2 linked regions of the Rhinolophus ferrumequinum genome follow. The protein of the gene in region 1 purifies or fractionates together with the protein of each later gene. This does not show direct contact. Links are inferred from orthologs where the notes say so. Each region holds a gene or a part of one and is shown in the gene's direction. Other genes may lie near its edges.

The links.
Region 2: the proteins of TGOLN2 (region 1) and GALNT2 purify together in Homo sapiens (affinity purification with mass spectrometry; 3 studies listed by BioGRID and IntAct, counting the BioPlex papers as one, with this or other methods). This does not show direct contact. The link is inferred for Rhinolophus ferrumequinum from reciprocal best matches to the Homo sapiens genes TGOLN2 and GALNT2.

Annotation. Positions count from the first base shown.
Region 1 is NC_046296.1:8,933,403-8,948,662, reverse strand, and holds the start of TGOLN2 (trans-Golgi network integral membrane protein 2), read left to right. Parts: upstream 1-9,607; 5' UTR 9,608-9,707; coding exon 9,708-9,753; intron 9,754-9,996; coding exon 9,997-11,258; intron 11,259-12,403; coding exon 12,404-12,487; intron 12,488-13,725; coding exon 13,726-13,731; 3' UTR 13,732-15,260. Other genes in the region: TCF7L1 (transcription factor 7-like 1), read left to right, coding at 1,568-2,001. UniProt on the Homo sapiens protein: May be involved in regulating membrane traffic to and from trans-Golgi network.
Region 2 is NC_046310.1:26,497,086-26,512,296, reverse strand, and holds the start of GALNT2 (polypeptide N-acetylgalactosaminyltransferase 2), read left to right. Parts: upstream 1-8,805; 5' UTR 8,806-8,894; coding exon 8,895-9,020; intron 9,021-15,211. UniProt on the Homo sapiens protein: Catalyzes the initial reaction in O-linked oligosaccharide biosynthesis, the transfer of an N-acetyl-D-galactosamine residue to a serine or threonine residue on the protein receptor.

The DNA of each region.
Region 1 (15,260 bases):
TATTATAACAGCTGCCATTTTTAGGGCCTCTGCCTCATGAGAGCCTCATGTATACTCAAATGGGGGTTACAACTATCCCTTTTTAGAGATCACCAATTAGGAGGCTCAGAGAAGTAAAGGGATTTTCCCAGTTATTCTGTTAAATGATGGAGGCAGGATTCGATCCCAGCAGTCACTCACTTCGAACCTAGGCGCTTTTCAGTTCAGTTGAGTTGCATCTTATTTGAGGGTTAGGTTCCAAAATCAATGCCTGTTAGGAACTGAATGTAGGTGAAAATGTTCCAAGATTCTGTGAAATTTCTTTAGGAAGCTGGCGCGTTAGAGACTGACATACTGCCTATCAGTGAATTTAACAGAATCAGGTTTGCCTCCAATGTTTGGTTGGTCGAACACCAGAAGAAAGTTTGCTCGAGTTTGGGGGCCACTTTGTGCCAAAAATATATACTGTCTTTTTATACCGGAATCACATCTAGCACAGAGATGTTTACACTGTGACAAGCATTTAGGTCACTCCTCTCATACTCACTCCAGGACAAGTATAGAACCGCTGTTACCATTTAAAGTGCATTTGTTCCCCCTCCCTTCTCCTCTCCTTTCCCTTTCTTTCTTACTTTCCCTTTCTTCTTTTTTTTCTTTTTCTTTCTCTCTCTCTCTCTCTCTCTCTCTCTGTCTTTTTTCTTTTTCTAATTTGTATATTCATCTACATATGAGCACACATAAATAAAATATATATATATATATAATGCAAAATTCACTGTATACCACACCGCTTAGCAGGGCTACACTTTTTTTTTTTTTTTAACAGGACTTTATTGGGGAACAGTGTGTACTTCCAGACCTTTTTTTCCAAGTCAAGTTGTTGTTCTTTCAATCTTAGTTGTGGAGGGCGCAGCTCAGCTCCAGGTCCCGTTGCCGTTGCTAGTTGCAGGGGGCGCAGCCCACCATCCCTTGCGGGAGTCGAACTAGCAACCTTGTGGTTGAGAGGACGTGCTCCAACTAACTGAGCCATCCGGGAGCTCAGCGGCAGCTCAGCTCAAGGTGCCGTGTTCAATCTTAGTTTTAGGGGGCAGAATTCACCATCCCTTGCAGGAGTTGAGGAATCGAACTGGCAGCCTGTGGTTGAGAGCCCACTGGCCCATGTGGGAATTGAACCGGCAGCCTTCGGAGTTAGGAGCACGGCACTCCAACCGCCTGAGCCACCGGGCTGGCCCAGAGCTACACTATTTTTAATGATACCATAAACCAAAGATTTTAAAGCAAGTTGAGTGGCGATCCATCCCCAAAATGATGAGATTCAGGTGAGGAAGATGATGATGCGATAGCCTGAGCTGTCGTTTTTCTAGTCAGAGACTGAACAATCCTTTGTCGTTTAGCATTGCCCCTTCTCTATGCTCTAGGCATCCTGGAATGCAGCTGCTAGTCTCGAAAGCCTTAGACATAATTGCAGGTCCTCACTTCCTCCTTGGAAGGATTCTTATGTTTCCAGAGTAGGGATGTACAGCCAGCGCTCTCCTGCAGCCTCACCAGAGCTACTAGCTGCTCACTCTTGCTTGTGTCTTTCCCCTAGGTGCTCTGGTCTCCAAAAGCAAGAAGCCATGTGTTCAGTACCTGCCCCCTGAGAAGCCCTGCGACAGCCCTGCCTCTTCCCACGGCAGCATGCTGGACTCCCCGGCGACCCCCTCGGCAGCCTTGGCCTCACCGGCTGCCCCTGCTGCGACCCACTCCGAGCAAGCCCAGCCCCTCTCCCTCACCACCAAGCCTGAGAGCCGGGCCCAGCTGGCTCTCCACTCGGCTGCCTTCCTGTCAGCGAAGGCTGCAGCCACGTCCTCTGGCCAGATGGGCAGCCAGCCCCCGCTCCTCTCCCGGCCCCTCCCGCTCGGGTCCATGCCCACAGCTCTGCTGACTTCTCCCCCTTCCTTCCCAGCCACGCTCCATGCCCACCAGGCCCTCCCAGTACTCCAGGCCCAGCCTTTGTCCTTGGTCACCAAGCCTGCCCACTAAGCTGCCCTGTGACCTATGCAGGCTGTCACGTGACCCATCGAGTAGTAATGATTCAGAAGAAAAAAAAAAAGGAACTTTATTGGTCAATATTTGACCACTCTGGACTGTTCTGTAAAGTGGCTGGTAACAACAGCACTTTACGTGTTGTAGATGTAACCAGTAGCTGATCTTAAGGCTTTTTTAAAAAAACAAAACAAAACCAACAAAAAAAAAATCCTTAAAAGAAAGAGAACTGAAAAGTAGTGTGTCATTTTTCCTGTCTGTGCAGTGCGGGATGAACCTGGGCAGAAGACACCCTTCTTTCTACCTCTGTTACTTTCTGCCCCCCTCCCTCGTCTCATCTCCCCCACTCAGTCTGCATGATGGCCATTGCTGCAACTTCTAGCCTGTTGCTTCTTCATCTAGATCCTGTGCCTGGACATTTCCTTTTATCTCGCCCAAGTTTTTCTCCTTTGCTCAACTCATGGGTTCCTGCCTTCATCTCCTCCGTCCTCTGCCCAGTGTAAGGCTGTCGCCATGTGAGAAGACACCTTTGCCTGGTTTATCTCCACCAGCATCCCCTTTCCCACAGTGGGCCCTAACCTGCCAGCCTCCAGCTTTTGGTGGGGAAAAAGGTCCTCTGAAATGGCTCTTCCCCACATCTAAAAGGACTCAAGGTGCCTGCCACTTCCTTAGAGACGAAGTCTGTGTTCCACCCTCTTACCAGTCAAGACCTCCCCTTCACAGTCCCAGAGGGGCAGACAGGACCTGCTCCAAGGCTCCTGCCAGCTGGGTCAGTGCCAGCACAGTCTGCCAAAGTTCTAAAGACCCTCCTCCCTCCCCCATCACCTCACATGCTTCTGTGTGTACTTCTTTTTGTTTTTATGGGTTTTTTGAAGCAATTTAAACTCCCAATAAGCTCTTTATTTTCACAAAAGAAAATAAAATTGCAGTTGCAAGACCTTTTCTGAGTGTTTTAATCCTTTTGTTGAATCAAGCCCCCTTCTTCATACCAAGCCCTGTGCTAGAGAGATTTTTGCATACATGCAAAGAGCATTAGCACTTACCGGAGGGGGATATAAAACGTGCCTGACACAATTAGACGAATCCAACCCAGCTTCCAGCCTCAAATGTGCATCGACCAGTCCATATCGATAACTGAGATCCAAATGGAGGAAGCCTTTTGTTTCCATTTGTCTTATTAGAATGGCCAAGATGTGACGGGCATCCTTTGTCTGCTTTGCATGGTATCCAGTAATTTTTGTAGCAGCTTTATTGAGATATAATTCATACAATTCACTCATTTAAAGTGTATAATTCAATGGTTTTTAATGTGTTCAGAATTGTGTATCCATCATCACAGTCAATTTTACATTTTCATCACCTCAAAAAGAAATCCCATACATACCCTTTAGAGGTCACCCTGCATTTCCTCCAACCCTAGGCAACCAATCACTAGTCTACTTTGTGTCTTTGGATTTGTGTATTCTGGATATTTCATTTTAATGGGATAATACAATATTTGGTCCTTTCTTACTGACTTCTTCCAGCATATTTTCAAGATTCATCCATGTTGTAGCATGTATCAGTACTTCATTCTTTTTTAATTATGGTTAATATACATGACATTAAATTTGCCATTTTAAAGTGTACAACTCAGTGGCATGAATTACAGTCACAGTGTTGTGCAACCATCACCACGAATGATTTCCAAAACTTTTCATCACCCCAAATAGAATCTCTATAACTATTAAGCAATAACCCTCATTCTCCCTGCCCCCAGCCCGGGACCTCTAATCTACTTTCTGTTTCGATGAATCTGCCTACTCTAAATATTTCATGTAACTGGAATCATAAAATATTTGTCCTTTTGTGCCTGGCTTATTTAACATAACAATGTTTTCAAGGTTCATCCATGTTGTAGCATGTATCAGATTTTTTAAGTTTTGATAAAATAATTTAGACTTCCTTTTTATCAGTATTTGCTAGGTTTTTTTACTCAGATATACAGCTTTTTTTAAATCGTGGTAAATACATATAAAATTCACCATTTTAAGTGGACAATTGAGTGGTACTAAGTACATTTACAACATCACGCAACCGTAACCACTGGATTATTTCATCCCATCCCAAACAAACTGCCCACTAAGCGGTAACCCCCTCATTCCTTCCTCCCCCCAGACCGTAGGGACTTTTAATCCACTTTGTATCGTTATGAGTTTTTTCTAGGTACCACATATAAATAGAATCATACAATATTATACTTATTTCACTTAGTATAAGGTTGTAGTGTGTATCAGAATGTCATTCCTTTTTATAGCCGTTGTACGTATGTACCACATTTTGTTTATCCATTCATCTATTGATGGATGCATTGGTTGTTTTCCACATTGTGGCTGTGGTGAATAATGCTGCTATGAAGATTCACATAAAAGTATAATGTTTGAGTCCCTGTCTTCAGTTCTTTGAGGTATAAACACCTAGGAGTGGAATTGCTGGGTCATACAGTAACTGTTTAATATTTTGAGGAATTGCCAAACATTTCCATAGCAGCTACAACATGTGTATTCCAGCCAGCAATGTGTGGGGGTGCCAATTTCTCGACATCCTCACCAACACGTTATTTTCTCGTTTTTTTTTCATTATTATAGCCATCATAGTAGGTGTGAAGTGGTATCTCACTGTGATTTTGATTTACACTTACCTAACTCATGATGTCGAGCATCTTCTCATATGCTTATTAGCCAGTTGTCCCAGCACCATTTGTTGAAAACACTATTCTTTCCCCCATTGAACTAGCTTGGAACCCTTGTGGAAAATTAACTGACCACAAATGTAGAGGCTTATTTCTGGACTATCAATTCTATTCCATTCCTCTATGTACCTTTACGCCAGTACCACACTGTCCTAATTACTGTAGCTTTTTGTAGCAAGTTTTTAATTGGGAAGTGTGAGTCCTCCAACTGTTCTTTTTCAAAACTGTTTTGGCTATTCTGACTCTTTTGCATTTCTATATGAATTTTAAGATCAGTTTGTCAATTTTTGCAAAGAAACCAGTTGGGAATTTAATAGGGATGGTGTTCGTAGATCAATTTGGGGAGCATAGCCATTTATCAAAATTGCCTACCAATTCATGAACATGGGATGTCTTTTTCATTTATTTAGGACTTCTTTATTTTCTTTCAATAATGTTTTGCTTTCAGAGTATCAGTTTTGTACTTCTTTTGTAAAATTTATTCCTAAGGATCTTATTCTTTTGATACTATTGTAAATGGAATTACTTCCTTTTTAGACTGTCCACTGCAAATGCATAGAAATACAATTGATTTTTGTATATTGACCTCACATCTTACAACCTTGCTGAACTTGTTCTGATAAATTTTTAGAAAATGTTCAGGATTTTCTATATACGAGACCATGTCATCTGCAAATATAGTTTTACTTCTTCCTTTCTAATTTGATGTCTTTATTTCATTTTCTTGCTTTTAAGTGTCCTGATGACTTCCAGTACAAAGTTGAATACAAGTGGTGAGAGCAGACATCATTATTCCTTATCTTATAGGGAAAGCATACAGCCTTGTCATTAAGTATAACATTAGTTGTAAGGTTTTTGGACATGCCGTCTTTCAGGTTGAGGACGTTCCTTTCTTTTCCTAGTTTGTTGAGTGTTTTTATCATGAAGGGGTGCAAGGAAATTTTAAGATTTATTAAAGTTACCTGCTGCCACTCCCTTAAACCAAAATTGGTGTGAGTCAGGAGTTAGTGCTAAAATTTGCCTTCTCTACTCCTCTCCCACCCTGGTAGAAGCACTGCCTGGAGAAAAACCACACGACTGAAATAGTGCCGTTCCAGATCTGTGGTGCCTAAGATCAGAGAGGCCTTCAATACCACTCAGTTACTGCACTTGTCCTTTATCAGCTCCCTCTTCTAGTGCCCTCAACTCTTGTCTTCACCATTCTCAACACCCCAATTTAATCCCCACCTTCTCACTCTCAAAGACTGCCTTGCCTCTTAGAATATCAAGAAAACTGAGGCCAGCTGAAATGCTCTATGTTGCTCTCCCACACCCCTACCTAAATACCCACCCACCCTCTGACCATTCTAACTGCCTTTCCACAGATCTCAAAGTCAATCCCTGGTTCAACCCAAGGTCAACTGCTCTACTGCTCCTGGACCCCAGCCCTTCATCTCTTGGTATCTTGTTCCACCACTACTGTCTTGTAATCTTGGTCACTCTGTCTAATGAGTTCTTTCCCTCAGTCAATAAAAACGTTCAATCCTCTCCCATATTAGAAACCCTCTGTTTTACATCCATACTTCCAGAAAAGGTAGTTTCTACTTACCTCCCACTCACTACTTACCCAACAGCAACCAGGTTTTGCTCTCACCATTCTACTGAAATTGTAATTCTAAGTCCTTATCTTACTTCAACTCCGTGCTGTATTTGATAGTGTTGATTTCACTTTCCTTCTACAAACACTCAGTTCTAAGACAACTGGGATTCCTCAAAGTAGGTTCAATAAGGAGACAAGGAGACGATAGTGTACCAGAAGACAAGTGACATGACTAGTTTTAGCAGTAAAGCTACAAAAAAGGTCTGCAAGATAAGAATTGTATGTATGGTTTTATAACTTGCTTTAGTTTCAGTTAGTAAGCTATCATATGCACATAGACGCCTATATAAAAGGGAGAACTAACAAAATATTCATGATAATAGCTGTGGATTACAGGATATTTTCATTTTCTTACTTTGGCTTATCCTTGTTTTTAATTTTTGTATTATGAACATAAAATTACAATAACTTTTGGGAGCTTTAATTATATGCTACTGTGTTAAATACTCTATGAATTATCTAATTCTCAATACTTATTCCCATTTCATAGTGAAGAAATTGGTACTTAAATCAATTAAGTATATTGCCCAAATTCATGTAAATTACTTGTGCAATAAATATTCAAGGAAAACAGGGATTATTTTTCTCCTATCAAACTGGCAGATTAAGAATACACACTGCTATCAAAGGTTGAGTAAAATAATAGCACAACCTTAAGCAAGTTGCTGAATCTTTCTGAGGATCTGTCTCATCTTAAAATGTACCAAAATAATTGTTACTAACAGTAGGAAATGGAAAATAATCCAGATTTCCAATAATAAGGGAACTGTCACAAAAATTATAATAAACTCATAAACTACTTTTTATGAAACCATTAACAATTGTATTTTTTGAACAATATTTAAATTAGTTAGGAAAAAAGTTCCCATATTTTGCCTTTGGACTCCATGCTCACATTTCCAGCTACCTCCCTGACATCTCTACTTGACTGTCTCACAGGCATCTTAAACACACAACCAGAAGCAAATCCATTTTCTATGGACTGCCCCCATCAAATCTGGTTCTCCACACCTTCCTCTCCATCACCCCTCCCTCCCATATCCAATCCATCTCCAAGGCCTGTTGGTATTACCTCCCAAATTTATTGAGTCCTACCACTTCCCTCCAGTCTCACTGTCCCTATTGGACTACTTGGACTACTACAAGTCTGCCGAGAAACTCCTAAATCCACTCTTCTCTCCCCATCCCTAGAGATTCTTTACCCTGCAACCAGATTAATCTTCAAAATTTTCCAACTCTGATTATATCTTTCCCTACTTAAACCTCCTTGAAGGCTTCTCATTACTATTAAGATAAAATATAAAACCCTGGACATGGCCCACAAACTGCAAGATTTGGACCCTTCTTTCCTCTCCTCTGTCTAGTATTGTGGAAACAAGATCAGGCTTAATAATTTGCCATTCCTCTCCCTATACATATCTCCACTGAACCACTATTCTTTAATGTTAGTCAAATATTTATTTATGGAACTTGGAGAGACTTTTCTTTTAAATACAGATTCATTTACCAATTCACTTTCTTTAGTAAAAGCAGAGTCATGGTTCACTTTCTTTAGTAAAAGCATCTGAAATAATTTGGTAAAAGATTTCTCACTTCTTTCTGATCCTTGTTCTCTCCTCAGTAATGAGCGTATGTGTGAGAGAGATTTTCTTACAACAGAGAAACACTGACAAGCATATTAAAGGTTTTTAAATAACAAAAGTTCTTGTTCCTGAAAACTATATTTATGCCATGAACGGTCTTCAGGATTTCAACCTACTAGTAAATCTGGATGCAATGTAACCCAAATACTGTACTTAACCGACTACAGAGAAGTGTGATTGCTCCTGGCGGCTGTAGTCCTTTTGGGTTGGATTACATTTCAGCCTGAGGTAACTGGCATATTTTCTGATGTACTTTTGTGTCCCACAAAGATTTATGTTCTTAACAACTCCTAGATCATTTCTTTTTAATCTGGCTCTGCCCCTCCGCATCCCCTGCCAGTTTTCTTGTTCTGTTATCTGACATTCTTATCGTCATCTTTAGACTTACACAAAATACCAGGTTCCCACCTGCCTCCCGGTCTTTGCACAGCCTGTACACTCAGCCAGGAAAACTCCTCCTCCTCCTCCCTTCAACTTCACCTGGAAAACACCTACATTCTTTGGTCCTCAGCTCAAAGGTCCTTTCTCAACAGAGTGCAGAGTTTCTATACTTTTGTTTCTTGGCAGTTCTTGGAACACATACACAGTTGTGTAAATATTTGATTAATATTTTTGTGTCCCACTAGACTACATGTTCCATTAAGTTAGGGCCTATCATTTTTTAAATCAGTCTACAAAGCACTTAGCCTGGCCAATGTTCATAAAACAACTTCAAGCAACAATTAATGTATAAACCCAACAGTAATTTTAAACAGTGGGATACAAAACTATTTACCCAATGATTCCAATTTGGGAGAAAATGAAAATGCATTGAAAAAAGACCAATAATATATATATTAAGGGAAAAATAAGTACGTATGTATCTGTTTTTTAAAAAAGAAAAACACTAGATGGAAACAATAATGCAAGTGATAACCTGTGGGGGGTAGGGGACAAGAACTTTGCAATGTGTACTTTTTAAAAAAACCCATTGGGATTTTTGAACCATTAGAACGTATTACCTAACCAAAAATGTTAAATGTTTGCAAGACAGAAAACACTAACATTAATAGTGATTATCCCGGAAGAGTGGGACAAAGATTTTGTTTTCTACCTCCATACATTCACCAAATTTTCTACTGTGGATATGAATAGCTTTCATGATCAGAAAAAGGATGTATTCTTTAGGAAAACTCTTTGGCAACTTCGAGAGTACAGTTTCCGTGGTGTTGGGAGAGTGGAGCGGTGATTCGAAGGCTCCCGCTACAAAGGTGACAGAATGGGTTCTGTTTCGATGGGAGACCTAAGCACAGCCCGTCTGTATGCTGCGGTGAAATAACCACGAAAAGGGGAGATTCAAAAATGCGAGCAGAGCATGGGGCGCAGAGGCGCCGGGCCCCAGGGACGTCACTCCCGTGGGACCGTCCACTGCCAGGGAGGAGCACCTGCTCAGCTGTATTGTCTCGGACGTACCAGGGGGAAGAAGGAAACGGGGAGTGACGGTCTGCTAAGGATGCTATGGAGCAAAGAAAAAAGGTGGATACACCCAAAGGGAAAATAGTGGAACTACGAACCTCCCCGACCCTTCCGCAGGCGGCTCCCCTCGTCCTGGCGGAGCTGAGGGGACGCGCACAGGAAAGGGCGGGGCTATGAATACTGAGTCCGTGCGCAGATCTCGCGAGAGCGGTAGCGGAAGTACAGTTTGTTCAGGATGCGGTTCCTGGTTGCGTTGGTCCTGCTGAGCGTCGTAGCGGCGGGTAAGACCCCCCCCCCCCACCGACCCCCAAAAATCTGACACTAGCCCCACAGGCAGGTCCACGATCCTCACCGTGGCCGGTCGCCATCTGAGCTTGCTTCCCTGCCCGACTCACCCCTCCAGTCGGCATCACCCCCCCCTCCCAGCCCCACCGTTTGCCTGTTGCCCGGGTCTCTTATAGCTCTGAGGGTTCCTTTTTCCCCGACCTGCCTCTCTTCAGAGCCAATTGGTTTCTCTCTTTCAGGCGCCGCGCTGCCCGTTTCTGCCCTGTCAGCCACCGAAAAACTGCTCAGTCGGGAGAAAGGAGAGATTCCAGAAAAAGATTCCAATCAGCCCCCCTCGAGCCACCTGTCTGAAAAGGATGTCCACACATCTGCTCTGGAAACCCAATCCATCAAAGAGGAATTTGCCTCGTTGAGTTTGAATCGCCAGGTCACAGGAGACAGTTCAAGCAAGTCAAATCAAGACCCCCATTCCCCAAAAGACGATTCTGGCAAGTCAAATCAAGACCCCCATTCCACGAAAGACGATTCTGGCAAGTCGAATCAGGACCCCCAGTCCACGAAAGACGATTCTGGCAAGTCGACTCAGGACCCCCTGTCCACGAAAGACGATTCTGGCAAGTCGACTCAGGACCCCCTGTCCACGAAAGACGATTCTGGCAAGTCGACTCAGGACCCCCTGTCCAAGAAAGACGATTCTGGCAAGTCGACTCAGGACCCCCTGTCCACGAAAGACGATTCTGGCAAGTCAACTCAGGACCCCCTGTCCAAGAAAGACGATTCTGGCAAGTCGAATCAGGACCCCCAGTCCTCGAAGGACGATTCTGGCAAGTCGAATCAGGACCCCCAGTCCACAAAAGATAATTCTGGCAAATCAGATCAGCACCCCCAGTCCAGTCATGACCCTAAGTCCACGAAAGATAATTCTGGCAAGTCGGATCAGGAATCCCAGTCCACGAAAGATAATTCTGGCAAGTCGGATCAGGAATCCCAGTCCACGAAAGATAATTCTGGCAAGTCGGATCAGGAATCCCAGTCCACGAAAGATAATTCTGGCAAGTCGGAACAGGACACCCAGTCCACGAAAGACAACTCCAACAATCCTGTGTCCAACCCATCCTCTAATAACAAGCTTACCAACCCTGACTTAAGCATACTAGCTGACAAAGGAGAGACCTCTCTGCATGCTTCCAAATCTGAATCTGGGGAAAGAGTATTACTGGACTCTGACTCCACTTCTCCCCCGCAGGAGGGAGAAGATAAGTCTTCAAAACCTGCTAAAGATGTGGAGCCAAAGGAGGCTGAGAAAGGTGATACAGAAGGTTCTCCACCCAAAGAAGAGAAAGAAGGGACACTTTTGGATTCCATGAGCGGGAAGAAGGCTGACCTTTATAAGGACAGCCTTGGAAGTGCGAGTGCAGAAAGCAGCCACTTCTTTGCATACCTGGTGACTGCTGCCATTCTCGTTGCTGTCCTCTATATTGCCTATCACAACAAGCGGAAGGTAAGTCAAGAAATGCCTTCAGAGAAATGGGTTAGCCTGAAAGCTTGGTATATGGGCCAGTATCCATCACTGATCTGCCTGTGAACACGGGATTTTAAGACAAATTTTTTTCCAGACCCTGCTAGGGCTCTACTCCTGTTTTCTAAGTCATTTGTTTTCATGTCTGTTTCCTCTGAGTGCCCTCTGCTGCTGCATTAAGTGCCAATTAGGACATTATTACAGTCTGACCTGAATTGGGATATTCTCCCATAATCTTGAACTTAGATCCTTCACAGCCTCAGAAGAAGTAGTTAGAGCATTTATCTTCCTGTTTCCACTCTCAAGAGTGAATCATTTCTTGCTTCTTTGCTAAGCTTTTATCTTCTATCTGCAGTAGCAGAAAGAATCGTTACATAATCTTCGACATGCGTAGCAGAGAGCCCAGGGACTATCTTCTGCAGTCAGTTGAACTTCTGATTAGAAGAAAGATCAGAAATTGCATGGATACATTCATCTTTCACTTCTTAGCAGGGTTTGGTGTGAAGTAACATCTGTGTCGCTTAGCAATCATTCCAATGATAAAGGGACTGCAGTTCTTGTTGAGCTCTAAGAATTTAGCAGTTTTTGTAGCCTGATTCGAATTGGAGAGTTCAATTCATGATGGTCATAAAGCCTGTGGCTGTTAGGAAACACAAAAGACGTTAAGTTAAAACGGTGTGTTCCTTATTCTACATCCAACATGGAGAGTAACCTTAGGCATGAAATGAGAGTGGTGTGGTTAAGGTGAAGCAAAGTGTGGGGTGAAAGAGTACATTTGCAGAAAAGAAATAATAATTGCTTATGATTTAAGGAACTCTCTAGGGAGGAGTCGGCCCATCTTTGGCTGAGTACTCTTGAGCAAATCCAGAGACTCCCACAAACTAGAGCCCAGAACAGCCTTCCTCCATCTCTCATTTTCTGTTTAGCAGTATAAGGGATTCTAATGCAACTAGGCCCTGTCCTCCTTAAAATCGTTCTAATTTAAATAGGCCTCTTCAGAGTGTACTGCTCTTTGTACTGTTAGGGTTATTAACAAACGTACTATCAGGTGATTATCTCTGATTTCCGAGACTGAAGTATGTCAGTATAGAATCACTTGTTAATCATTTTCTTTTGCCGTTCCCCAGATTATTGCTTTTGTCCTGGAAGGAAAAAAATCCAAACTCCCTCGGCGGCCAAAGGCCAGTGACTACCAGCGTTTGGACCAGAAGGTAAGGGAGGAAGATCCAGGCTCAGGGGAGGGATGTACAGTTTTAGATGGGCCCAGCAGTGGCTTGCATTGGCGTGGCAGCAGCAGCTGGTTCTGGGGGTACTACTACCAGCACCCTGGCCTTTTCAGACCCCAAAGTAGAGACACCCACGTATCCATGTCTGCAGTGTTAGAACTGAACAGACCTTCAGCTGCTCGACAACAGCTCCCTCCCTTGACAGATGAGCAAACTCTGGCCCGGAAACATCATGATTCTTCTTCCCCCTAAGTTCCCACCTCAAATTGGTGGCAAAATCAAGGCCTAATGGCAACTCCCTAGGCTCCTGTCTTGTGCTTTTTGTACTATACCAGCACGTCACAAATTTTCATAGGCATTGTGACAGAAAGCAAAATCTGATTCACTGGGTATGGAGTGGAACCTATGCTTCTACATTTCTAGGAAGTTCCCAGGTGATGCCAGTTGCTGCTGGAACCACACTTCAGGGAGCAAAGCACTAGACGACACTCCCTATAAACAAATCCAGAAATATACAGGCCTCCAACTTCCCAGGTCAGCCCTGCTAAGCACTGCGGACTAGATTTCCTGAGTGCAGCCTTTGCGTGGAAGCAAAGCCCTCCCAGCCCACAGCAGCAGGAGCTGAGGCACGCGCTCCCCGGAGGCACTCCCACTGCTTTGCTGCCAGCTCACACCCTTTCTTTCCCTTCATGTAGCAACAGCGAGGGCGTTGGTAAAGAGTTGCTGGTGGCCCAACTGAGTTGTTCCCAGACTTTCTACAGGGAGCAGAGTTCACATGTACAGCTCAGACCAGTTACAGAATAAGCCACTTAGCTCAGAACCTCTTTGCTAACTAGCCCACTTGTACGTCACCTTCCCATTATAGCCCTGGCCTAGTGCCGTCCCAGGTAATTGACTTCAAGGATTTCCGTTCCCCTTCATTATAATATTTTTCTGGTTAAAAAAAATACTCATGTAAACAATTCAAAACAACAAATCATGGCACGAAGCAGAAGCCAGGGTTCTGGGTCCCTCCAGGAAGTGTGTATCTTTCTACCTAACTTTTAAAATTTTACGTGCTTTTATTGTATCAATTGCTGTTTGTATGGTGGAGGGTCAATTTGTCTTAATTCTGAGCTGCAACTCCCATAAGGCCTTTTTTTCCCTTTGTAATCATAGCAGTGAGGTATATTCCTCTCCAAAAAGATGAACATTACCATTGGATTGTGTTCCTCTCTTTTCAGATTTGATTTTTCTGTTTTTGAGAACCTTGTCCTCCCTGCTGATTTGTTTCTAAATCAAGAGAAATGAAGAGAAAAGTACTGTGACCTAAGAGACACCCTCTCGGGTTTATGACAAGTCCGGGCTGCCAGAGGCGGGGGTGTTGCTTTGGTTTTTGCACCTGCACTTTGGTGACCTTGTACTCCTGTGTTCCTGGTGTTTACGCTGGTGTCTCATCCTTTCCCGCTCTAAGTGTGAGTAGAACCCAGCATGTGGGAACCCAGCTTTGACCAAACGGAGACCCCAGTCCTAGGCAAGCTGCTGACCACCCTCCCTTGGACCTTGGCTCTGTAGTAAAGTCACCCCTTGAAAATAGCATTGCACTCGCCACTATTTATTTTTGCAAACCGAGGAGAAAACTGCAGGTTGAGGTGCTTTTCTTCCAAGGCATCTTACTTTGGGGGGATGTACCCTACAAAAGATGTAGAAGGTGAATGCTGATGGGCAAAGGGCTACTTAGGACACAATTTTCTTTAAAGGCTTCAGCAGCAAACCAAAACAGCAGCTTTAAAAAAAGTGCTTTACTGCCTACAAGTCCAACCTGTCTAGTAGAAGTTCTTTACGTTTTTCTGATATTTTCCTATTACTTAAGACAAAGTGAATCAACTTCCATTTGGTTGTACTGAGTATAAAACTGAATGTGGGGATTTTGGGAGTAAAGCTACTATTCCCATCACAGATTATTAAAAATACAGTTATGATGATTGAAACACTGTTCTCCACACTCACTGTCATAACTGGGTAAGTTCATGGCTTTATGCAAGAAAACATCTGGGAAGGTTTTGCTATTGGTCTGCATTTTTTTCGAACGGTAACTGAGGGTAATGTTTTGAATCACGCTGTTTGAAGTTTTATTGAAATCTGTTCTGGTCATGCTATTCTATTAGAGAGAGCCTAAACAGAGTTGTTTCTGCAAAGAAAAAACAAATAGAATAACTGATCTCAGGGAAATACAAAGGGTGTGGGAAGTGAGGAGCATGTGATGGATTCTGTGCTGTAAGAGAAGTAAGTCTAAAGAAGGGGCCGTCCTGTTTGTCATATTATCTTCCACCTTGCTTAAAACAGCTCATGGCTTGGAGATTTTCATTTTTGCAGGTAGCTATTTGTGGAGATAAAGAACGAATGAATGCTCTTGTTGGCATCATTTTCTCTACTTGTGCACCAGTCTTATAATACTGTCCTCCAATCTGAGGAATCTTTTATCAGGCTCTTCTAGCATTCCCTATGACCATGGTTATTTTATTCCCCTTCTGTCTTCCCTTTCCCTACCTTTCCTCCTCTAATGCTTTCCATTTCTGCCTATTACGTAGCACCTTTCCTCCAACTTTACACTTGCCCAGATTTACCCCACACCCATTCATCCTATTTGTTATTCATTCTACTGTTCCACTTCTCCAGTAAGTATTGTTTCCATTACCTTAGCACTCTTTCTCTTCGTAACCCTTACAAACTCACATTGGTTTTTGTGTCTCTACTAAATGTTTATCCAAAGGTTCAG
Region 2 (15,211 bases), on another chromosome or scaffold:
GTGAGAGGATTTACACGGGGGGACGTGGGGGCAAGAAGAGCATCTCTCAGCTGACAGCAGGACGTTCCCCGGAGAGGGCAGGAATTACTGCGGCTCGCTTGCAGGGCTGGCAGTTACCTCAAAGCCATCAACAAGGAGAATTCCTTTTTAGGGCTGTTGTGGTGAAGTTATTGTCACCCCAGGCCTGTGGGGCTTGTGACCCAGGCATTTTGGTGGGAAAGAGCCACACAGAATGACAGAGACTGTTGCGCTGGACCAAGAGAGGCTGGGGTGAAGCCCCGGGCAGAATGATCCAAGAGGATGAAAAGCAGGGGTCAGGAGTGGGAGCAGCCCCTGAGACCTGCTCACAGTCCTTAATGGCTCGACTCTCGCCTGATATGGGGTGATTAGGTCCGTGTTCACAAACCCGAAACTGTGTGGATCTTCCTGGACCATCAATTTCTGGCAGGATGGGCTTCAGACAGAGGCTGATGGGTGGGGGCGAGTCTCCCCGAACCTTTACAGAGACTGCCAGGGAGTCAGCAGCTCTTCACCCCTCCCGATTTGCTTTATTGAAGTATATAACTTGTACATATAAAGTGCATATGTCAAATGTGTACATACAACCCATTGAACTTTTTTATACTCAACGTGTCATGTAACCAGCACCCGGATCACGAGCCAGAAGGTCCCCAGCACCCTGAGGTCTCCGTCGGGCTGTTTGGTCAGGCCCCAGTCCTCTCCCTCCAAGGGACCACTGCTGAGCCCGCCATGTGGCCGACCCAGTGTTTCCTGGCCACTCACCTTCCCAGGCTCTGCTGCTCGGAGCTGCCTTGGGCGAGTAATGTAAGCTGCTGTGCCTCGCTGTAAAACTGGAGTGTTAGTGGCACTTACCTCATCAGGCTGTTGTGAGGATTAATAATAATCGTGTAGAAAAAACACGAACAGCACTCGGGCAGCGGCCGGCATATAGTAAACACATCATTAATCTTACATTTTCAGGGCGATTGAGTTCTTTAACCTCAATCACATTGATGAATTATTTCTCAGTCACAATTCAAGTCAGGAGATTTCCAGGAAGATTGTCGCAGGTGGTCAACACATGTATCCACTGGCTGTGGCAGTTTTGAGCCTATGTCACTAAGAAGGGCACTTCTGAGGCAAGGTACGGGGACTCACAGCGGACAGAACGGTTCTGCTTCAGTGTCGTGTGACCCCATGGAAACCAGCCCGCAGGAGGCCCTGGGCAGCGTCCCTCAATGTCTTCTTTTTACCATAGCCTCTGTATTTTTTGGGGAAAAAGGAGTTCTGATGATCCAATTTCAGTGTTTAATATTTTGGTCCCATTTAAGCAGTTATAATTTTGTTTTTCTTTTCTCTCCTAATTGGGATTTTACCGCCATTGAAATATTTTAGAAAAAGGGATATTATACCATCAGATAATAAAAAAGGTTCTTTCGTATAGAGACACAAAGTATCGTCAAAGTGATGTCTCTGACAGCAGTAACTGGCCCAGTCACCTGGCAGCAGAAACTCCTGAGCACACGGATGTGTTTGCTGCGGCACATAGCAGCGGTCCATCATGCCTAACAGCTAAGGGAACAGCCCTCAGGGCTCCAGCATGGACACATCACCTAGATAAATGGCAGAACTGGGGCTGAGGCAAGGGCACGTCAACGCGGTGCAGAGCACGCCACTCAGCTGGTAAAAATACGGAGCCGTGCCCATCTGCTCCAAGTGTGCGGAGCTGGGAAAGGAAATGGGAAGGGGGCCTTCTGTGCAAGCCGCTGCCCAGGGAACCGGGTACGGGGGAGCTCAGAGGTCGGGACGAGCAGCCTTAGCTGAGTGAGCTCAGGTTTTTGCTTCTTTCCTAACCTGCAAAGTGAAATTAGTAATCAGGGTCTACCACACTGGAAGTTAAATCACGTCTTAAAGAAAATAATATCAAACTTCAGGAAGGTTGAAAAAATAATACGCTTTTTATCCAACCTCACCATTTTTAAATCTTCTATTACATTTGTTTTATTATCTTCTGCCTATATATTTTTTCTCAACTTTTGAGTAGTTCGCGTGACTTGTGCCCCTTTAACCTTTGAATTTCAGTTCATGTTCCCTATGAACAAGAATCTGCTGTGTATTCATAACCCAATAACCAAAATGAGACCATGTCACACTACGCTGTATGCTGCAGTCACAACAGCAAGCACACTACACCATTACCAATCTGTAGCCGTAGTCAGCTGTGTTAATTGTCACACTCGTGTCCTCCGCAGCATTTTTAGAATCATGCACTGAATTTAGTCCACCCATCTGGAACCGTTCCTCAACTTCTCCTGTCTGTCATAATTGTGACATTTCTGAAGAATACAAACCAGCTACTATACCGAATGTTCCTCATTTTGTTTCCCAATATTTATCTATGATTAGATGCAGGTTACGTTTCCTTGGCTGGGTACTGAGGCACTGATGCTGCGGCATTCCCAGGCATGTCTGCAGAGAGGGCATCCTTCCAATCTTCTTGAGGGACATCAATTTTGGTTACCTGGCCAAGGTCGTGTCTAGTTTCCCCACTACACAGTTACCAAGTTCCCTCTGCAACTCATAGGTATTCTGCTGAAAGATATTTGAAGACCTTGTACATATCCTCTTGTCCTCAAACTCCCCTGTCCCCACCCCCATTTCCACCCCCACACAGTAGTATCTCCTGGTGAGTCTTCTCCATCAATCTTTACTGTGACACGGTTACCAAATGCTGATTTTCAACTTCACCCTGCTCTTCACGTTTGTCAGTTGGCATTCAGCTGAAAGACAGAGCCCATGTCTGCCATTTATTTATTTATTACCAGCATGTGCTCACAGATTCCTACTGTATTCAAAATTCATTTTGATGTACACATGTCCTAGATTTCACCAGTGAGGGCCCTTCAAGCTGGCTCCTGTGACCTTTTAACATCCCCCTCCAGTTTTTTTGCCCTTCCTTACTTTCTATTACAACAAGATGTTGTCATTGATTCTAAGAATCAATCATTTCTCCAAGGAAACTTCTTATAGTGCAAAATGGTACTTAGAATCCGAGACCTGGTTGTAAGCTGTGCTCACGATACGAGGGTGTCATTCAGTGGACAGACCTGGGAAATGTGTACAGACACGTATATGGAACATGTGTGAGGATGGGTTTCCATGTGCACACAAGGTGAGCATAGGTATTTCATATGTATGCACATGGAAATAACGAGTCTGTACTCTGATCTCTAGGTCCAGATCTACTCCAGAGGAAGTGTCCTGCCTTCCCTCATTCCACACTGTACTTCCCTTCTTCCACAGTGAAAACCCTAGACCCCCAAACAATACATTTTCTGATTTGCTCTATCACACAATATGCAGAAAATGTTTAACTACTACACTCGTAACACTATGAAAAAAACCATAAAGAGTTCAAACATTGTGTGCAGCTCCTTTTATTCTCGAGGCTGATGGTATAAAGTCAAGCACTTTGTTTAAGTTATGACTTCATTCTTTCCCCCCTTCTAGTGTGGTTATGTCATTCATTTGCAATATAGTCAGATTCATTTCTGCTCAGGTTTCATTTTTATTCCCCACCCCCTCACCATTTCTGTTTTACTTTTTGAATATGTAGAACATCAGCATGTTTCTAAAAGTCAAACCTGGGAAAAGGGTATTCTCAGAGAAGGGGGGCTCCTTCTTTCCCTTCGACTTTTCCTCCTGCCCTTACACGTAGCCAATTTCATTGTTTTCTGGTTTATCTTTATTGTGGATGTGTCCATGTTAGTATGTGTGTTGACAAAATAAACAGATAGCTGTATGTTTTCTTCTTTTCCCTTCTTTCTTACACAACAGTACTCTATTGCACTGTGCTTTTTTCATTTAATAACATATCCTGGAAACCACTCCATATCTATTCACAAAAGTCTTCTTTATTATTTTGCATAGTCCTACCAACAGAGCGCTTTGTCAAACTTTTGCATTTTTGCCAATTTGTTGGGGTGGGGGAGGGGGAATACATAGTATCTCTCTAGTTTTAATTTGCAACTCTATTATGAGTGAAGTTGAACGGCTTTTCATGTTTATGTACTCCTAAACTCTTTACTATGAATTGTCTGTTTGTGTTTTGCCCATCTCAATGTTTAAGTTCTTTACATATTAGAGATATTACCCCCTTTATGTATGACATGTGTGGAAATAATTTCTTCCTATTTGCTATGCCTTTTCTATTGTGGTAAAATATACATAAACATACAATTTGCCATTTGAGCCATTTTTGAGTGGACAGTTCAGTGGCAGTAAGAGCATTCATGTTGTTCTGCAGCCATCCCACCATCGTCTCCAGAACTTTGCATCTTCCCAAACTGCAGCTCTGTACCAGTGAAACAGCCCCCATTTCTCCTCCCCTGGCACCCAGCCTTCGCCTCTGTCTCTGTGAATGTGACGACTCCAGATGCCTCCCATCAGTGGTGTCATACAGTGTTTGTCCTGCTGTGACTGGCTTATTTCATGCAGCATCACGTGCTCAGGTCTCACCCATGTTGTAGCCTGTGCCAGAATATGCTTCCTTTTTAAAGCTGAGTAATGTTCCACTGTTTGGATGGAACATAATTTAGTTCATCCATCCATCCACTGATGGACACGGTGTTACTTCCACCTTTGGCTACTGTGAATAATGGTATTATGAACATAGGAGTACACACATCATCCGAGTCCTCGCTTTCAGCTCTGGGGGTACACTCAGAGGGGAGTTGATGGGTCATACAGTAAATCTATGTCTAACTTTTTGAGGAACAGCCATACTGTTTTCTACAGTGGCTGTACCATTTACATTCCCACCAGCAACACACAAGGGTTCTAATTTCTCCACGTCCTCTTCAACATTTGTTATATATATTTAATAACAGCCGCACAAATGGGTGTCAAGTGACATCTGATTGTGTTTTTTTGTTGTTTTTTCCCCCCCATAATCAATGTTGGGGTAGATTCCAGTTTTCCCTCATGGACTTCAGTTGTCATGAGGCCTGTTTTTTGTTTTTGCACTTCCCCACATCACATCCTTTTTCCAGGTCTGCAAAGTATACTGACTTCAGACCTGCTGTTATGCACAATGGAAATAGACTCCCATTGAATTTTTTTTCTACCTCCAACATCGTACAAAGTTTAAACTCTATCATACAGTCCTTATTCCAGATCATTAATATGGTTTTACTCCTCTGAGCACATCCTGGGGTACAATTGATGTACCCTCACTGGGAGTTGAAGTTTTGGCTATAAATTGTCCTTCTTCGTCTCATTTAATGCTCTTTGGCCCGTTCTACTTTGTTTGATATCAGGATCACAGCTCCTGCTTTTTTAGAGTTGGGTTTCCTTTTCTGCCAAATTTGAAAATCTCTTAATAGGCAAATAGAGACATTTATAAGTTGATATACTGACATGGTTTGGTCTCACCTCTGTCATATTATTTTCTGTTACAATCACTGCACGTATTATGCTCTACTTACTGTGTTCCTTACACTATTTGATGTTTATTCTTTGCAATTTGTAACATTTTTCTTTTTGGGTTTTGAAATAGGGTTTCCAATATTTTGGAACATTTATACTTTGCTTTAGTGTCATTTTTTTATATTTTTATATTATCCTTAATCCCTTTAATTTTTAACCTTTAAATTTCTGGTCTCTCCCTTTTCTATGATCTCCTCTGACTCCCACATATTATCTATCATGTTTCCCCCAAAATAAGACCTAGCTGGACCATCAGCTCTGATGCGTCTTTTGGAGCAAAAATTAATATAAGACCTGGTCTTATTTTACTATAATATAAGACCGGATCTTATATGATATGATATGATATAATACCTGGTCTTATATAAGACCGGGTATAATATAATATAGTATAATATAATATAATATATATATGTTATACATAATATAATATAATATAATATAATATAATATAATATAATATAATATAATATAATATATACCAGGTCTTAATTTTTGCTCCAAAAGACGCATTAGAGCCGATGGTCCAGCTAGGACTTATTTTCGGGGAAACGCTGTATTTAACAATTCTGTTTTCCCTTTTCTCTCTCTCTCTCCCTCAATTGTCTGTAGTCACACTTGTTCCACCTTCCCAGAAAGTATGTGTATACTGTTCTTCCACCAATTAAATGTATGAGTACTCTCGCTCAGTCACTTTGCTGGTTTCCTCAGTTATCTCTTGGTTGGGGAAGCTCATTCTCCAGGAAAGGAATGTGACGTTCTCTGAATTTTTGCTCTCAGTTCACATCTGTTTGTCTATAACTTTGATCCTTGAAGTGTGGACAAAAAAGCCCTTGGCTGGTACTTTCTCTGAGTTTCTTGTAAATGCTTCCCCACTGCTGCCTTGCTTTGTATCCTGTTAAGAAGTCTGATGTCAACCTAACATTTCATCTCAGTAAGTAATTTGATCTTTTTGTCTTTAAAAACCTAGTAGTTTTGCTAACATATATATTTTGAAGTTGATTCTCCCAGACCAGTTTCCCAAGCTATGTGGAAGTTATTTTCGATAAGTAATTTGAATTTTCTCTTATTTTTGGATTATTTTATGGGATTATAGCTATTTCAATTTTATTGAGATGTAATTGACATACAGCACTGTCTAAATTAAAGGTGCACAGCATAGTGACCTGACTAACATATTGTGAAATGATCACCACAGTAGATTTAGTTATCTCATATCAATGTGTAGTTTTAAAAAAATATTTTTTTCTTTGTGACGAGAACTCTTAGAATCTACGCTCTTAACTTTCAAACATACCACACAGCAGTGTTAACGATAGTCATCATGTTATACATTACATCTGGATTATAATTCTGTCTCACTCTTTGGTGTTTAACGTTAGGAACTCCAGTTATAGGTATTTTGGTTCTTCTTTTTTGACTTTCATTTAAATCACTTATTTTGAACCTTTTTACTTCATTATCTTATTTTCAATTTCTAGATTAACTTATTGCCATTCTTCAGGACCCTTTTACATATTTATATTTGAATATATTCTCCTTTGGGCACCTTGTAATCATTCTGTATTTCTGGGATAGTTTTGTCTTTATTTTTAATTTCTTTCCTGAATTTGACCAACTTTTGTTGCATTTCTTCCTAATGTTTGTCCAGTCTGTTCTTGGTTTTTGAATTTCAGATTCTAGTTGCATAGATGTGTATCTATGGATGTGTATCCAAATACATGATACTTTGTTCATTCTGATATGTGGTGTCAAACTGCTTTTCTTCTGCTTCACAGTTTTACGGGGGGGATTTCATCAGCTGAAATGTTATGATTCAGTTTCTCATCATAAGAAATGTGATTTTCTGTTTTCTTTTTGCAGTGCTGTTGAATTTGCTTTTCTGTTACCAGGAATTTTGGCACAGGGTTCCTGGTTCAAAAACGTTCTATCTGTATGCAGAAGTGCAGTTTTTAATAGATAACAGTGGCTGGGGGAAGGATCCACCGTCTTTTATTTCTGCAGGATCTTTAATTTTCCCTCTTACTTCCTTCATTCCCTTCACCGCCAGGCCTCCAAAGGGCATTACCTTTTCTCTGTGTCGCTGACTTTTCCCAGAAGCAAGGCTTCTTCAAGGCTGCCACCTCCTGTCCCATTTTCTTTGAAACCTCTTCCCTTTGTCAATCAAGTACCAGACTGGTGTTCAGTTTTTAGTTCTTGTTGTTGGACTTTCTCTGCATGGAGGGATTTAAGCCTGGGCTTCACTTACGTCCTTGGCAACAGTGGAGAGAGCTCTGTTGGAATTTGATGTCTTTTCTTTCTTCTACTTAAGTAATTTCAAGTTCAGTTCATGTCAATTCCCTCTGCTAGTGACGCTGAAGGCTTGTTAGCTTGTGTTTGTGTTTTGTTGCGGATATGAGTAGAGGTTCAGATTCAGGCAGCTGTCATTAACCTCTAGACTGGGAAGCTCCTGAAATCACTTTTAAAATATCAAGTGCAAGTAACATTTCTTTCTTTTCTAGGAACACTGGAAACTGCGGTTAGAAGGGCACCATCAAGGTTATGTATTCTGTTCCAAGACAGATCTGTCTTCTTGCATCTTTGAAGATGTTGAGTGTGCTAACTTTCTTCTTTTAAGAAAGCAACCAATTTAAAAGATTTAAAAATGTATATTGTTTTCCTTCTTCCTCATTTCAAATTTACTTAAAACAAAACAAAAAAACCCTGCTGTTAAGCGCTGTGTTCATCCCCAGAAAAATGTTCCCTTGAAGACGACCTCTCCGTTTCTAGCTCTAGGCCCCCACCTCTGCCTAACTGAAGAAATTGACACCTGGGATCAGGATGTTTTGCTGCAAAATTAGAAAGAAAGCTGCAGCGAGCAGCAGCTGAGTCAGATCCAGGAGGGTCAGTGGGTCCGTAAGATGGAGCCTGCTAAGGGTCTGAGGTGGTCACGAAGACCGGGGATTGACGAGATCGTGTCCGCAGGGCAGCGCGAGGCAGCAGGGACCAAGTGTCCCTCCTGCGTGTGCACGTGCGTGCGCGCTCCTCTCGGGTCCCGGCAGCCACCTGTCACTCACTGGGGCGGCGGGGCGCGGCGCGAGGACGCGAGGGGGCGGGGCGGCCGGCTGCTGCCGCCCTGGAGACGCGGTGATTCCCCTCCTCCGCCCGCGCCCGCGCCCCGCCGCCCGCCGATTGGTCGCCCTTTGCTCCCTGACCCCCTGGCCGCCGCTTCCTGCTCGGGCGCCGCGCGGCGCTCCCGGCCTGGGGCGGAGCTCGGCGCCGAGTGCGCGCCGCCCCCGCCGGGCGAGCGGGAGCCCGCGCGGGAGGAGGAGCCGGAGCCGCGCCCGCCCTTCCCCTTCCTCCGCCCCGCGCCGGCCCAGGCAGCACTCGCGAGCAGCGGCGCCGCGGCCGGCGGCCGAGTGGGGAGGATGCGGCGGCGCTCGCGGATGCTGCTGTGTTTCGCCTTCCTGTGGGTGCTGGGCATCGCCTACTACATGTATTCCGGCGGCGGCTCCGCGCTGGCCGCCGGCGCGGGCGGCGGCGCCGGCAGGAAGGTGAGTGGGCGCCCGCCCGCGGCCCGGCCCCCCGAACCCCGCTCCCGCCGCCCCCGCGCCTGGCCCTCCCGGCGCCGACGCACCCCGGCTCCTCAGTCGGACGTGGCCGCGGGGCCCCGAAGAGCTCCCCGCCCGAGCCTCCCGCCGAGTCCCCGGGGCAGCGGGCGCACCGGCCCCTCCGCGCTCGCCGGGCTCGGGAGAGGGCCCGCCGGCGCAACCCCGCAGGGCTGGGGACCGCGGACGCCTTTCTTGTCGCCTCCGTTCTCCTCCGTAGACATCCCCTCTCTGCTCCACATAATTTGAGTCTTGTCCGGCCGCCGGAGCCCCATCCCCTACGGTGGGAAGTTTAGGGGTGCGCATGTTGGGAAACACAAAAGGGGGTGGGGAGGAAGGGGAGAGAGGCAGCCGCCTTTCCAGCGTGTCATGTACAGTAGGAGAGAGGCGTCCAAGTTTCTTTTTAGCTCTTTGATACAAGCCGTTGCAGGTCCTACCCTCTTTCCCCCGTGTCACCCCGCGTGGGGAAGAGGCGCAGCCAGTTCCGTGCCTAACGAAACGGGCTCCCCTGGGCCGGAGTAAGCGGAGGCCAGCGCGCCTCTGCGCCCGGAGGGAGGCCGGCCACGTCCCCGACCTTCCCCTCCCGGCCCCCGCTTACACTCTGCCGGACTCGGCCCCGGCTCTCCCGCGCACGCCGGACGCGGCCTCCTGCGCTGGCATTCACCGGCCCCACTCCCCCGTTACGCGGGCACAGCCCCTCTACTACGACTGTGTTTTCGACAGGCCCCAAGGGCCGAGTGATTAGGCCGTGGGGACCATGTACGGCGCCCTGGACTACCCGGCGCTTCGGCAGGAAACGGAGGGAAGCCAGGCAGCCCAGTCCTGGGCCGTGCGCCTGCTGGGTCGGGAGGACTCTGGGCTGTGCACATGTCGCCTCGCGCTGTTTGTGGTGTTTGGTGGTTCATAGGCTGACAAAGCAACGTTATCTTTTCCAAAATCCTGTAACCCAATTCCTCTGACGTTTACTGTCACCGCAAACCCAGGAAATTCTGAGTTAATGGAGGTGGACCACGGGTTGGGCTAGAACCAGGCAACGGTATCCTGGAACAAGACAAACGGGTGGGACTGGGCATGATCAGACTCTAGCCTCAAGACCTGTGAATGTCAGCGTGGAGTTCGGCTGCTTTAGAGATTTCCTTCCTTGCTTCCTTCATTCTTCATTCTCAGATGAAGGTATTAGGTAGAGAGGTAGGTGCCTTATTTGGTTCTTGGTAAGCTTCACAGGTTTACTTTATGGGGGGGGGGGCAGAAATGAAAATAGTTTTTCCCTGTGCTGAATTGGCCTGGCTTGGGTCGGAGCTGACAGTGTACTCTTAGCCCTGTTTCTTCTTTTTTTAATGCAAGGAACTGTTGTATGTGTACACGAAGTCTCCGTTTATTCTTGACTGATAAAGAGCCAGTATACCCAGGGGAAGCAGAGCAGCTGCTGCCATAGTGAAAACTGGGGGCATGTTAAACTGGAATTATTTTAAAACTGCTTCCCGGTAAGGTGGGTCTGCATAGCCTGGTGTGCTGGTGAGACCTGGCAAAGCTTTCTGCCTTTCATGCAAAAGAAAACCAAATGGGTAAGCCGTGCTTGGTATGTCTTTCCTTGGCTTGCCACTTTCACATGTGATTAGAAACAGCCACAGTGTAGCCTTAGCATCTGCAGAAGCTGGACTCCCTCTGGTGGGTGGGCTTCAGCTGGTGGACGGTGTTTGAGGGGTCTTCGATGTGTGACCCTTAGGTAAAAAAAAAAAAAAAAGTCCAAGAACTCCTTGTGGCCTGGTGGCCATAGAAGGGACAGAGACCATGTTGAAAAAAAAAGTGTGGGAAAGGAATGGTTATACAATGATTGGTGATTTGGGATTCTATTCTTTCTGTCAACGAACCATAACATTTAATCCTGGCCCTTAGAATGGTTTAGTGATTTGTGGGTTGAGGAAGAGGTGTGTAATGCAGTCACTTTTGAAATTGCAGTAAGAAGACTCATTAACTTCCTGCAGTGGACCCTGCTGCAAAGGGAAAGTGCTAAGACTTTCTGGACGGCAAATAGAACTGTGCTGTCCTGAGTTTTCTGATCAAGGTTGTGAACCCGGGTAGTCTTTCTTCCTCCTGAGTTGTTTCCATGGATTTAGAGACTAGAAAGTCTTTTCGAATTTACTTTGTCCTCATGATAAAAGGAAATATGTAGTTATTCTTAGCTTGTAAAGTAGGGACATAAACAGATAATGGGGTGCAGGTTCGGGCCGAATTTAAATACTCGCTCAAGTGTTTCAGATGTAAGTGGACTTCCATTTCTTCTCGTGTTTCCTACTAGTCAAGTCAAGGCTCTAAGCCCATATTTAGTTGATTTCTCTGCACCCTGACATTTTTCACAGGCACCAGCCTTCAGTATTAGGCTTTGGGGGATTATCTGTCTAATATTTCTGCTGCTTCAGCACCCCAGCCCCGTTTGTTGCTGTGTGCTCTGCCTGTTAAATAACTCATCTCAGAACTGTTATTCTCCATTTGGCAAAACCCAGACTGCAGATTTAATAAAGTAAACAGAAGTGGGTGCTGAAGACCAGCCCGGGCTTTGCTGCAGAACTGGACTCAATGCCAGGTTCAGGGGGTGTGGTCAATCAATTATGCATCAAGTTGTTTACAGTTCTATTTCATTTACGTTTGTATAGAGCCCTTCACTCCCCACATTTTGCTCTTTCTCCAGTAAATTGATGATTTGCACTTCAAGGATGCCTTTCCTTTGAGCATCTTAAATGCTTTAGAATTTAATTATGGTACGGCTCCCCTGGGCCTTGGTATGTTGGCAGTGGCTGGAGCCCCAGAAGGGAGGAAGGGATTTCTGTTGAAAATGTACCTGCCTCTGGGTGAAGTGGGCTGTTTAAGGATGGAAACAGAAGGGTTTTCCAGCATGTGAAAAATGATCTCTACTGAAAGTGTGTCTGGCCTAAGCCCCTGTCTGTGTTCCCTGCGTCCTTAGGAGGTCAGAGGAAGCATTAGCTAGAGGACATGACCCAGGGCCGAGGCAGCCTGTTCACTTTCCAGCAGCCTTCCTGGGGGTGTGGGAGGGGAATGTCCCAGGGTGGGAGGACTCTGGGCGTGACCTTGTAGTAGACATTGCGGGTATGTGGAGGGATTCCTCTTAGAATGGTCGGGGCCTAACTGGCTGGAGCATGGTACATTAGGGTGTAAAATTAGAGGAGGAGTTTGGGACTAAGTTGTAGACGGCTTCAAATGCCAAACCAACTTCTTGGTCCTTAATTTGGTTGATCATAGAGAACCAGTAATGTTCTCTGAACTGGGTAGTGGACATTCAAATGAATGGGAATGGCACAGATCCATTTATGGGCACCGAGTGAGTGATTTTCTCCTTTGTGCTTAGTGACTTTTGCTGATTTACGGAACCTCTCTGACTCTCACTTGCCTCATCTTTACAGTGGGGATAATCATTTTTACCGTGTGGCCGAGCACTAAATGCCATTAGCAGGTTCTGGCAAATAGTTGGTGCTGAATAAATGGTATGGGGAGGGAGACAGAAAAAGAAAAGCCTGAATATACATTTGAAAATCCAGTGAACCAGGAATCTTGTGTGTCTTCTGGAAAATTGTTGATGCATTTCTCTTCTTTAACCCCCGCTCCATTCCTCCAGGATTTGGTTGGTTCATTTGGGCTTGTACTGGGAACCTGGGATGACGCAAAGGACTGCCTTTTTTGGGAAGTGGTCCAGACCCCATGCCAGTTCTCTTGTTCCCAGCTGTAGGGTCAGTGGGCAGCCAGCAGGAAAGTGTGCTGAGGACACACCTTCCTTTGGTGTGTAAACAGCCTGAGTGTCACTGTGGACGCGTCCCTATGGAGCTTTCCTGTGGTGAGGAGGCTGCTCTGCTCCCCAGCGGGGTGCTGGGCTCCCCTCACCCCTGCAGCCTGGCTTCTCCTGGCCTGAGGGGGACGGCTGTCATCGCTCCAGTGTGCTTGGTTTGAGGTTGGACACGCGGCTGCCACGCGCTTCGCTGGGCGTCAGCAGATCTGTGAGCGTGCCTGTGGGGATGCGAGGGGGGACGCACAGCACACCCCGCCACCTGTAATCAGTTTGGAGTTTAAAGAATTTCCATTGGAAGTGAGACTTTGAGGTTGGGGTGGGGGGGGGAAGACAAACAGGCGCTGTAACATAAACTTTTCTCTAAAGAAAACAAAGTTTCCTATTCTGGAGTTATGTTGTGGCTGACCCCCCCCCCCCCCCCCCCCCCCCCGGTTCTCAGACGTAATGGAAACAGATTGTGACTGATAAACAGTGCGAAATAATGAGCTCTTCCCTTAACCCTCTAGCGAAATGAGAAGGAAGCGGCTGTTCCCAGCGGGGACTGGGGGCAGCCCGGGGCAGCTGCCCCAGCAGACCTCGGGGTGGGGTGGGGCGGCCCAGGAAGCACTCCTGGAGGGGGCTGGGTCCTGTGGATCGGCGCACAGGTGTTTGGAAGGTGGTCAGGGAAATGGCTGCAGCTGGGGGTGACTTAGGTGTGCACATAATTTCCTATCGCTGCCATTTGCGTTTCTCAGACATTTGGGGAGAAGGATGGCGGCCTGATAGGGCTGCTTTCAGAGCAGGCGGTGCTGTGTGGTCTAAGTTCACACAGAGCCAGAGGCAGTTGGCTTTGTGGAAGCAGGTGGCGGGACTGCTGGAGCATAGACCCAGGCATAGGCACATGCGAGAGCTGATGGAGCTTCTGGCCAGGATCCCGGGAAGGGGAAGGTATTCCTGGGAAAACCCGAGAATGAAGCCTCCTAGCCGGCCCAGCAGAATTCATGGGATGGGAAAGCAGCCCTACCCGGCTGAGCCTGCCCCGCACCCCCTGTCTTGTGAACCCTGTTCTGGGATGTGTGTTTGCATGGATGACGCTGACATAAAGCCGGCAGATGCCCAGATGGAGATACACCTGTGCAGCCGTACAGACGGAAACAGTGAAGCCCTGCTGTGACGCTTGTTAAGTAATTGCCATTCTCTTGAGACCCTGAGAGCCCCCCCCACCCCCAGCTTCCCTTGGGATCCCTTCTCCATGATCAGCAACTAAAGTTGAAACCTGCCACCACAGGGGCCTCTCAGACCCCTCTTCTGTGCCCAGGCCACAGCGGCACCTGAACACGGATCATAGGACCGAAGGAGGCATTGGCCTCGTCTGCCGCTGTGACGAGATGTCACCTTCTCCCTGAGGACATCCATGTTGCTCCTGGGGACCCTCGGTCCACCACTGTGGTCATGAGGCCTTGCCTCCAGACTGCCAGGAGGGTCGTCCACCAGCACCCCCTCCCGGTGGGTGCCACGAGGCAGGTCTGAGAGGCACGCTCCGCTGTTTCCATGTCTGTTGAGGACATTGGTACCTCGAGTCTGCTCTCCAGCTGACACTCATGCCCTCAGAGAAGACTGACCTTGCTGTCTTCCCTGGGTGAGGATGCTTGAACCTTGGGCCATGTGCTTGAGGTACGAGGAGTGCCTGTCCAGTTCTCCTTTCTGACAGTGTACCCGTTTCCAGGAAATAAAAACCAGCTCCAGCAGTGAGCAGGTCTCCTCCTCTCCCGCGGTGCCTGCCCAGGCAGGTGGCTCCGTGCTCCTGCTCTCTCACTGACTCTGCAGGACAGGCTGAGACACTGGCATTTTCGCATTTAGTCGTGACCGGTATTACGGGCCCGGGAAACGTCACCTTAAACGGATTGGGTTTCTTAGCATGCGGGATGTAGATGGCAGTGATTCATCAGGGCTGGCTTTGAAAAGCCAAAAGTGGTCGCAGTCTTTCTCCTGGGCTTGCACTGGAAAAGCTTTCCTGGGCTTAGGGGGTTGTGTAAATGCCACTCTCCTGCGCCCCGCCCCATGTCATGAAGCAGCTGCTGTGAGGGGTGGCTGCCAGGAGACAGCACTCGCCACCCTGTTGGGCCGCCCTCCCTGGCACCTGCTCCATTCGCCTGTGTCCTCCTGGGAGGCTCTCAGACCCCTCCTGCCGTCCCAGCCCTAGCGGTGTCACTCTTTGGGAGGAGGAATGGCCAGGATGGCTGGGGGCAGTTGCCAAGTTCCCAGAGCCCAAGTCAGAACACGCGTTGTGGCAGGGATGGGGTGCTTGGGGGGCAGGGGTCACTCCAGTTCAGGGTCCCCGACATCGACCCGGTTGACA